3 linked regions of the Schizosaccharomyces pombe genome follow. The gene in region 1 interacts genetically with each later gene. Each region holds a gene or a part of one and is shown in the gene's direction. Other genes may lie near its edges.

Region 1 (3,837 bases):
TTTTTAAATACAGAATTGATATCTGAGCAGTCATTTAGTAAAAAGATGTCAGTAAAAGCTTTCTAATCCATTGGTCGGAACTTTTTAAGACTTTGATGTTTACCAAATAATGAACACAGTTAACACTCCCTCACTATATTTTGCATCGTTATACAGTATACCAACGTTTACTATCGTTTACTATAGCACATATCGAAGTAGACAGCTGCACACTATTGATATTATAGCTATCGGCGCGTAGCTTTGACATTGACTTTTAGAATCTGCCATCCGATTGATACTTGAATCAGCAAATTAGAAGGGCTGTTCTTTTATTGTTTTAGAATCATCGGCTTGTACTATTACTAATTGAATTAGTTCTTATGTTACGCACATATCTCATTCTGTGGTCTTCATAACGACTTCTTGTAATTGGTGTTGGATATTGTCCAATTATTGTTATCTCCAAAAAGCTTTCTTATATTCTGTTTTTCAAGTTCTTTATATCTTTTTATTCTTTTTCCTACGTATTGTTAAGAGTGAATAAAATGCCATGTCCTCTTATGTGCCCAACACCCTGTCCGTATATCACAACTTGTTAATTTTAGAGGCATCGTTTCGGAAAACATACCTACAGCTTCAAGTTCGTCGTCAAAAGTATATGGCTTTCTATGTCTCACTATTGGTGTGGAACTTTTACTTTGGCTATCGCGTCTTTTATCGCATCTCAAAATACTCGTTGATTGATTTGACTTACAAACTTTGTCTTTTATGCGGAATTGTTACACTTTTGCTCTTTTATTTTTCTGGATTGTATCGGACTACAATAGTATATCCATCACGTTATGTTCAACAAGTCAACAAAGCGATGAGGTTTTTTAACATTCGCCTTGTTATAACTCCTGTCCCGTGGTTCCAGGTGAGAAAGCCTTTGGATTGTGGTGTCCATCTTATATTATCAAGCAAACGATTTGACATATTGGTGATCGAAGGTTGGGAAGCTTTTCGTTCTTCATATTTTGCTTCAATACATAGAAAAAACAATAGCATACAGAGTAACGAGTCCTCTGAATCTCCTTCTTCTAAACAGAACTAGATTTACTTATACCCTTATCCTATTTATAAAGGATGCGATCGTTTATTTCCTTTTCAACGTTGTTAATGCTTTTCATGTTTATACTGTTCTAGTATTTGTCATTTTTCATAACGTAAATTTTGATTAAAATTTTCAGCTATTTTTTTTTTTGCTATCCGTTGTTGCTGGCGCCTTTCGCTATATTATTGATCAGTTATTGTCGTTATACTTTTATTACATACTTACCCGATTTGAATTTATTAGGATACTTTTAAGGACATTTCCTTTTATGTTGGGATATGAGATTGCTTTACAGACCCACTGAAATAGGATTTATCGTTGGATAATTAAAAAAAGGATGTTGATGATTCATTACACATCTTGATCATTTACTTGCCTCATCTTAATTGGAAGGGTTTAAATAAAGGCTTAATTGAAAGTTGCTGTCACTTAACTTCCTTATCTTGTTCTGTCAACTTAAACTATTATCTTTCATTCCCGACTTATAATCTTTCTTTTCTTTCTACATCACCTTTTTTTTTAAAAAATGGGTAAAAAGCGTTTTCGCATGTACATAAGCAAAACTTCTTCTCTTCTTATGTAGAGACTTCCTTTTTTTTTAATTTTCAACTTACTCATGCGGACTATACCGGACGTTCATTAGCTCTCTTGACGAGTTAGGTTTTCAAATAATTTAATATAAATGTAATCACTCCACCGTTAAAATTAACTATTTATAAGTGGTGCTAAAATATAAAAAAGTGCATATAGCTAACACGTTTACTCACTGTTGTGCTGACAATTTAATCAATGAAATAATTGGAGACAAGTGAACTCTTTCGAAACTCTCATAATCGTCAGAGTTTGACTTAAAATACATTGTATATTAGTAGTCTAAATACGAGTAATATTATGCAAACCTTCCTATTCCTTATCTAATGTCGACTACTCAGTTAAATTTTATCCCAGCCAATTGCCCTAGCTAAGACATTTGTTATTATTTTGGTATTATGTTTATTCTTTTTGAACTTTCTGGCTAATTGTTAAAGATTTTACCTTATGTGATCTATATTTTCTTACTGGCTCAACCATGCGTAACGCTCCAACAACCAGCACTTTGCTCCATCACAATGCCGTTGTTCTTAGAAGAACATGCTGAGGTAATTTTATTTTTAAGATGCCGAATTAACGCTTTTAGTATTTGAAAAGATATTTAGAACAGGCGTTGGAGCCAATGTATGTAATTTTTTTTGAGTTGCCAATTTGCGTGATTTTTTTTTTTACACGCTAAAAAATTGTTTATCAATATGCTAACGAAATGACTAGTTCTGATGCTGATGCAAGTGTTTTATCAGATTATGCTATGGCATTGTTAAGGCACGATTCTTCTGAAGAAGAAGTTCGCCAGTTATGCTACTCACAACTAGAAGATTTTTTGCGACAGGAGACAATTCCTTTTGTTGATAAAATTTTTGATGTTTTACGTGAAAAATCTTACTTGGAGGGTGCTTCAAATATGCCGTCAACCGGTATGGTGACTGAAGAAGTTTCAAGGTATTCGCCAACTTCATCAATGATCCCTGCCACCAACAGCATGGAAACCAATTTTAATAATTCTTTACCTGCTGTAGGAAAAACAAACACTTTTCCCTCTCAGGTGCCTAATATGTTTGGACCTCCGTTGTACCATCCAGCAGCCACAGCACCTTCTGAATTCATGCCCAGTATTCCTGGGTTTGGAAACTTACCAAATCCTGCAATGCCTCCCATACCATTCTTACCATTTAATCCTGCGGCGCAGCCTCCTTTCCCTCCCCCATTTAAGATGCGAGGTAAAAGAGGATTTGGCATGCGCCATGAGCATAATAGTGAACTTCGTAGGCATTCTCCTGGTAATCGAAGATTTAATCCATACAAAGCGTATCCCCAACCCCATCTGGGACATCGCTTCTCTCGTAACGCTGGCAATGATCCAACAAGTACTGCTTTAGAAGTGCGAAACATTCCGGAAGAGCATTTTAATGAGGAGAACATTAGGTCCTTTTTTTCAAAGTTCGGTGTATTGGAGAAAGTCGAATTAAATCCGACACATCATTCTTGTGTGTTAGAATTCACTTCCCATGAGGCTGCCAACAATGCTTGGTCCTCGCCTGAGCCCATATTTAACAATCGCTTTATTAAAATATTTTGGTATAATCCGTCAAAGGGATTTCACAATCGACCAAAGAAGTTTGCATCCCATAAATCTCCCACTACTTCCGATTCGTCGAATGTAGAGAGTTCTGAAGATGTCGATCCTGCTTCTTTGTTACAAAACGAAGAGTTTCATAAACTGATTGAAGAAAGGCAAAGGCAGCACGAAGAACGTTTAAAACGCATAAATGCTAATAAAAAGGCACTAGAAGAACTTAACCAAAAAAAGCGCGAGCTTGCACAGCAACAATTAAAAGAACAAGAGTTACTGATGCAAAAAATTAAGGAAACTGACCGTTCAGGAAACAAAAGACTCATGTTGTTAGAAACTCAGCATTCTCTTTTGAAGGCTGAGGCTGATTGCTTAGGGTTACCTGTGAGCAACGTTTCTGAAAGCCCAGCGGCATCTAATGGTTCTCATCATCCTTACGCTTCAGGACTTCCCCAGCGAGGTACCAACACATTTTTCCGTGGCAGAGGTCGCGGACGAGGTGATATGTTTGCGTCAATGTCCATCGATAATCGTCCAACTAAGCTTCGTGTAATAAATGTTTCTCCTGAAAAAAATGAAGCTTTGTTGCAATACTTAT
Region 2 (3,600 bases), 1.9 Mb from region 1:
AGTGCCCCAGTGTGGGAACTTAATAGATACAACAGAGATAACGATAAGGTGAACAAATATGAAATGCATCTAAACGTTAAACGACATACAGCATGTGCATTGTTAATACCCGTGGAGAAGACAGAGCAAAGAACACTAGGATTTTTTCTTTTATCCACGGCACAATCAACTATGATATTTCACATTACAGCCATAATAGTGACAAAATAGAAATGAACGTAGCTTGTTAAACCCATTGAGTATCCTGTCCGACAAACAAGCTGTCCCTATAACACTAAAAAATGGAAGAAATTTCGATAATTCAAAATTAAGTAAACAGCAGGTTTTTAAAACCCACGAATACAACCAAAATTTACACAAGACAGACAAATACAACCAACACATAACATGAATAATATTAAAATGAATTAAAAAACATTAATGAGTCATACAAAAAATTTAAAACTTATACTACAAAGCAAAAAGCTATCTGAACTACCGACCCACAGAAAAAGTATCAATATGACTATTCCTGTAAGGGCACTAAGATGTCCAATATGGCTCTGGCCCACGTATGACGCTCAAACCATTCCATGGAAAAAGAAAAAGAAAAGTGAGCAACACGAATTGTGGGCGTCGGTATATAACCGCACGATAGGGAAACTTCAACTTAACAAACTCACGTTTATAGACCTTTGTGACTGTTTTTTAAACCCTACCCTTTTAAGTAATTTGTTTGCTGCATTTTCAGGTTATTATCCTATTGAGGTTACGATAATGTCAAGGAAAGTATAAAACAAGTGCTGTTCAAAATAAATAAATGAAAATAAAATAACACTTTTTTAATCGATTTCTGTAGAAATTTAGTCCTTTCATTTTTTAAGTTGACCCTTCATTGTTATACAACAATTAATTATTCTATACGTATATATTATATATATTGTCTACATCAATAACTGAGCAGAATTGAGCATTATACTGGATAGAAAATAAAAAAAATAAGCAGGCATTTTTTCACAAGTAAGTACATATTTTTATGATATGAATTGATAAAGGTGCAGGCGATCATATTGTTAGTTAATAATAAAAAATTGTAAATAGTAATTTTGCTTCTCCATTAAAATGAATACATAAATTTAGTAGATAATCGATTTAAACAAAAAATAGATATCCAAGCCAAAAAAAAAATAAAAAAAACCAAAAAATGTTTATTTTTTTTGGCTCATGAAACCCAGATTTATCAAAAACTTACGTTGCTTAGTGCTCAATCTCTTTAAACATGCAATAAAACAAGAATTAGCGGGACACATATATTGATATATTGCTTAAGGAATTAGTGTTCGGAAGTCTTACTGACTAAACTGTTCTTTACTTCAAAATTTACTCCTGAATTTTCATGTTAATGGAGGTCGAATTTTAGGTGGTCGATTGAGTTATATCAATAGTGATTTTACAAAAAAACAGTAAACGATTTTATATTAGCCTCATATAAATTTTTTTGAATTTCAATAAAATAAACTAAAACAAAAAATGTATTTCCACAAATTCCATCGATACAAGCATAGCAAAAGACGAATAACGCATTTAACAGTTTCTCGTTATATCACAAATAGTCTAACTGTTTAACGCAGTTTTGCGCGTACACATCTCTACTCCTTATACTTGTCCTATTACTATTGAAGTTAAAAATGTTGAATTAAATTCCACTTACTCTCTTTCTCTTCACACTTACTACTCAACATAATTGCAAAATGTTGCGTAGAAAGCGGGAGCGTCGTAATGCTGTTAAAGAGAATGAAATGGTAATTGATACACCATTGGAGAAACGCCGTACACCAGGCAAACCTCGTGCCACGCGTGAACCCCCGATATCCGTAGTTATTACTGGTCATTCCAAGGGTTCTGAGGACGACTTAATAAGCTTTGTTTGGAGAAAAGTCAAGGTTCGTCTAATGAACATTTCATATTCTCCGGCTTCGGTCACTGCCGTAGTTAAAAGCCAAGACTTTAGTCGTTTGAACGGGTTAAATGGTGCGGCTTTTGCTGGTGATCATTTGGCTATACGAAGGGTCGATGGAGCTTCTAACGTTACTCAAGATTATAGAAAAGCAAAGACAAAACGATCATTTCGTTCTGTTTCAGCTCCTTCATTATCTGCATTAGCAACACAAGCCCAGAGAAATGTTTCAAAAACGTTACCACAATCCACAAATGAGACCATTGAAAAGTTACGCCAGTTTTTGCAAACCCGTTATCAACCTGCTACTAAATTCTTGGACCTCGGAAATTTGCAACAAGATCCTCTTTTAAAGCAAATGGGGATTTTAGCAGAGGCTTCTACTAAGAGTAAGATGTTTCCAGCGTTAATGAAGGTTGCTTCTTTAAACTTTCCAGACGTTATATCAGTTAGTTTGTCGGATAACAACTTACAATCGGTGACTGCCGTAACCACTTTAGCACAAACATGGCCTAAACTTTTAAACCTTAGTCTTGCTAATAACCGGATTACTTCTTTATCTGACTTGGATCCATGGTCCCCCAAAACAAAGCTTCCCGAACTCCAAGAGCTTGTTCTTGTCGGAAACCCGATTGTCACAACCTTTGCTAATCGTGCTATGGATTATCAACGGGAAATGGTTTCGCGTTTTCCGAAGCTTCGTCTTTTAGATGGTAACAGCATAAATTCAGAGATTATCGCCTCTCAATCTACCGTCCCTTTTCCGGTTTATCAATCTTTCTTTGATAAGGTTGAAACCGAACAAATAGTCAATTCTTTTTTGGCTGCGTTCTTTAAAGGTTGGGATGAGAATAGAAGTGCACTTGTCAATCAATTATACAGTCCAAATGCTACCTTCTCAATCTCTCTGAACGCTTCAAACGTTAGAACGAACTTTTCTCAGAAAACAGACACTAAAAAATGGGGAGCTTACAAAATGAAAAGCAGAAATCTACTTTACTCACAATCACAGAAGGAGTCGAAATCTCGTTTATTTAACGGGCACGAAGAAATAAGCAACGCTGTAAAATCCTTACCTGCTACGGCTCACGATTTATCAGACCGTTCGCAATGGGTTTTTGATGGTTGGAACCTGGTTCTGCCTTCGGTTGGTGCAGCCATCAAAATTGTTGTCCATGGGCAATTTGAGGAACCACAAAACAAACGACTTCTACGAAGTTTTGATCGAACTTTGCTGATTTTGCCGGGAGGTTCCACAGGCATATTGATTATAAATGATTTATTAGTCATTCGTTCATTTGCTGGATCGCTCGGGTGGCTACCTGGTCAAAGCAGTGTACGAACAAGCAATAATGCCATGTCTGCGTCTGCTTCAAAGCCTAGTGATATTGTACAGCCAAGACCGGAACAAGCAATGTTAGACACTAGACAACAAATTGTATTAAAAATTAAGGCGGAGACAGGTTTAAATGATTACTATGCTCACATGTGTTGTGAGCAAAATAATTGGGATTACAACAGCGCTCTAGCATCTTTTTTGGAATTAAAGTCGCGAAATGTTATACCAGCCGAAGCATTTTCATGAACTTCTAGTGACGTGTATAGATAGATATGGTTAAAAAATTACAAACTGGGGAAATGGAAACTTTTATTTAATAATGGTA
Region 3 (3,837 bases), on another chromosome or scaffold:
CGAATCCCTTGTAGGGAAGAGGTATTGTCTGCACGACTTGGATCTTCAAATAATCCTTCAGAAGAATAAAGCTTTTCGATTATTTTTTCGATAACTTTAGAAAGTAAAGGGAATAGCGCAACTAATGTGATTGAACTAGCAAAAGAGTCGGTGGATAATATTAAGCTAGCCTTCATTGGACCCCAGCCAAATTTATAGTCCGTATAAAGCGGCAATAAGCCCATTGAACCAGCGCCGAGTAAAGTTAAAGATATCAATATTGCTGCAAGTAACACGTCCCAGTGTCTTCTTCCTGCATGGGTATCAGCATTAATATCGTACTGATGGAATTCGCATGATTCCTCTGTACATAAACTTCGAGGCCAAAGAATTATAAGTGGCTCAAGGCATGATCTCCATATCGAGGAAAATCCAGATATTTTATTCTGCTGCTCTTTACTTTCCGAAACATCTAGGCTTTCTGGAAGTATCAACCAAACGTAAAGTAAATAAATAATCCAAAAAGTTGAAGTAATATAAAATACATAATACATATGAGGAGTGTATTGCACAATGAATCCGCTTAAACTAGGTCCCAAAGCGGTTCCTAGATGGTAAGCAGCAAAATTTAATCCTAAATACCATGCACGAAACTCGGTCTTAGAACAATCTGCAACAAAGGAATTTTGGCTGGCTACAACGGTAGAAATATAACCGCCTAAGCCTTTCAAGGCAGCAGCAAAAAGAACAAAATATGGATGCTTGGGGGCATAGGACTGATATAAAAGCCATAAATCACCAAGCAGCAAAAATGAGACGGTAATGAAAAGTACAAGGCGGCGACCATAAATATCCCCCATTGTTCCATAATAAGCGGTGGAAAAAAGACCTAAAAAGGCGGCTAAAGAGCCAAAAGCGGCACGGACTTTTGAAACACCAGTAGTAATTTCCGCTAGTCGGCATATTGGGTCATCTGGGGACAACTGTGTAGGATCAAGGTTATAATGAATGGCACATAGTTCCTGTCGAAGTAAAAAGAGCAGAGGTATTTCAATCATGCCCCAAGAAAAGGCATTAATAAAGTTTAATGGAAGAATCAAAAGTGGAGATAAAGAACGTCTTCTGGCGATTTCACGACAACAGTTATCATTGTTACATATAGATTCATTATTATGATGAGAATTAGATGAATCTGGTTCATTGAAAGAGATGGGTTCATTAGAATTGGAGGTAGAGTCGTAATTTTTAGGCTTCGCCTTAAATGAGTCATGCGAGCTTGACTTTGCAACGTTATTATTGCTTGAACTGGCACCATTGGTTTCATGCTTTAATGAATGAGAATTACCGTTGCATGCAGAACCTTTAGCTTGCAAAGGACAATCAGAACAGTATTCTCTTTCTGGTGAAGGAGTTCTGGATCGAAAGGGCTTGTTCACTGACGGATCGGAAATTAGTAATGGAGTATGATCATCATCGTGTGAAGACATTTGTAGCTCCTTCTCAAAATGGTGGGTACGCTGATAAAATAGAATGTAAATTATAACCCAAATACTCTTCTACTCGAAATGTTCGCAATAATCAATTAACTCGTTGCCCTCAAACTGCAGCATCAATTGTAAAATTCCTTGCACCTATATCCTAAAAATTTTTCTATATGCAATATATACGTTTCACAACGTTTTCGATTTCGAGATAATTAGAAGACTTTAGGTAGTTGGTGCTACTAAGAAGGTTGAGAACCGAAGGAAAATATTTGCTCGAGAAAGTAATTTTGAACTACTAGTTACTATGAAGAAATAACTATATTCCAAAATGACAATGCAATGTAATTGCTTTGTAGTTGGCTAAGCCTTTAGATGTATATATATTAGACGCTTAGATTCTGGACTAGTTTAATTAATGCTGTTACGTTGTGGCGTTATAGTGTCATCGTTAGTCGTTGAATAGTTCTTATAGTGAAATTGGGTATAATATTCGAAAAAAAATTAGCAAACTCGCTATTTTATGCTATTTATTAATTCTTTCTGTTCTTACTGTGAAAGATATTTCTTATATTCCACTTACGTTTGAACTGAGGCTCTTGCTGTATTTTAACTTACGGCTTGCAGTATCAATATAACTATTGCTACTAGAAATTACCTTTAGTCTACGTATTCCATTGAAGCTCTCCGAACGCATCATCTATAGGAAGTTTATTTCTTTTGGAACGGCAAATTTGCCAACTTCTTGTCTGTGAACATATTTTTGTGATTGTATTCTTTCTTCTCAATTCCTTTATTTCATGCTAAGTTGAGCTATTTGATTTCATTTTAGAGCATATACCGGTACATAACTTATTAAATTCTGATTCCATAACAGGAGTGGAATTGATTTACTAATTCTCGGAGTACATTTATTGTAAATTTGAGCATCTCTATTATTTTGGCTTATTTTAGTTAATTATTGACTGTAAACCAACAACATGACTACATTACTGGAAACACCTGGATATAGTGAAAAACTTCATGATTCGATTGAAAAAAAACTTTCTGAATATGGGTGGGGAGAAGAGGCTGCTTCTCTGGCCGATTTTGTTCTTGTGATGCTTAGCAATGGAAAAACACAAACTGAAATTAATGAAGAACTAGTTGATTTAATAGGGTCCGATTTTGATACTAGCTTCTCACTTTGGTTATTTAATCAAATTGAAGAGCTTGAAAAATCAAAAAATGCTTCAGTTGAGTCAGTCAGCAAGATCGACGAAATCGATTTTATCGAGAAGGAGTCAACTGACAAGTCGCAGCAATCTTTCTCTGTGCCGGAAACTAGCATACAACCTCAATCTTCTCAAACTCCTAATATAACTTCGTTACGTGAAGAGAAGGAGCTACCTACTGGGCGTGTCGGACAAAAGCTCAAACTTACATCTCAGAAACAGCGATTCAATCCCATGGCAGCTTCGTTTAACTACTCGAAATCCGTTATGCCTGCTGCCAAGCGTGCTCTCACTCAAACCCAAGAGGTCCCTTTGTGCAAATATGCCGATAAGTGCTCCCGTGCTAACGTATGTATTAATATCAGATAATTTGTTAAAACTAACTCTTTAGTGTATATTTGCTCATCCGACACCAGCCGCAGCCCCAGGAGAAGGTATGGTCCTGAGCAGTGAAATGTGTGCTTCTGGTAAAGAATGCAAAGCTGCTGATGTAAGTACCATAATAATTTAAATCTAACTATTACTAACGTATACAGTGTGTCAAGGGACATCCATCTCCAGCTACGGTTACTACATTACCACCTTTCATGTCCATGTCAACCATTCCAATTCCTTGTAAATATAAACCGTGTTTGAATCCAGCTTGTCGTTTTATCCACCCGACGAAAAGCAGAAATATGACATGGCGGCCACCCTCTAAAACAGAAGAGACGTCCCTGAGTGAACGTTCGTTTGCTGTTAACGAGTCAGAAGAACAACTTCATGTTCCTTCTGTGTAAATTTAGAGAATTATGATACTATTTCGTGTTCGTATAATTGGCACATATCTACTTTTGATAGTCAAGCCAGGATACTTCGTTTAAGAACATACCTTCTAGAGTTTGCAAACTTGATATTTATTTTATTGTATAGATTGCTAAAACGATAAAGTTTTATTTGTCGCTACGTTTGCTGCAATCGGCAATTATCAAGTCGCTAAATTGATTTAAAAAATTTGTTTTCGTTATATTGATGTCTTTTTAGTGAATGAAAATTTTATTTTGATGTGAATTATGCAAATAATGATTTATTTACTTCTTCGGTTAAGTTAATATTATACATATTCAAATACCCACGTTTGTTGACATTCATTACTAAATACATCTTATGTTACTTGTTGGTTA

The links.
Region 2: mutations in rmn1 (region 1) and mex67 are lethal when combined (synthetic lethality), as found in Schizosaccharomyces pombe (one study listed by BioGRID).
Region 3: mutations in rmn1 (region 1) and nab2 are lethal when combined (synthetic lethality), as found in Schizosaccharomyces pombe (one study listed by BioGRID).

Annotation. Positions count from the first base shown.
Region 1 is NC_003423.3:487,698-491,534, forward strand, and holds the start of rmn1 (MTREC (exosome adaptor) complex RNA-binding subunit Rmn1), read left to right. Parts: upstream 1-2,158; 5' UTR 2,159-2,184; coding exon 2,185-2,214; exon of another isoform or gene 2,215-2,252; coding exon 2,253-2,290; exon of another isoform or gene 2,291-2,380; coding exon 2,381-3,837. Other genes in the region: protein phosphatase regulator Nem2, read left to right, coding at 533-1,075.
Region 2 is NC_003423.3:2,408,225-2,411,824, reverse strand, and holds the start of mex67 (nucleoporin Mex67), read left to right. Parts: upstream 1-1,703; 5' UTR 1,704-1,730; coding exon 1,731-3,521; 3' UTR 3,522-3,600. Other genes in the region: SPOM_SPBC1921.04C (uncharacterized protein), read left to right, coding at 421-774. UniProt on the Schizosaccharomyces pombe protein: Involved in the export of mRNA from the nucleus to the cytoplasm.
Region 3 is NC_003424.3:5,238,421-5,242,257, reverse strand, and holds the start of nab2 (poly(A)-binding protein Nab2), read left to right. Parts: upstream 1-2,039; 5' UTR 2,040-2,440; coding exon 2,441-3,022; exon of another isoform or gene 3,023-3,065; coding exon 3,066-3,164; intron 3,165-3,210; coding exon 3,211-3,453; 3' UTR 3,454-3,837. Other genes in the region: SPOM_SPAC14C4.07 (transporter), read right to left, coding at 1-1,466. UniProt on the Schizosaccharomyces pombe protein: RNA-binding protein involved in RNA processing. Acts as a regulator of mRNA stability: binds to mRNAs and pre-mRNAs, preventing their degradation.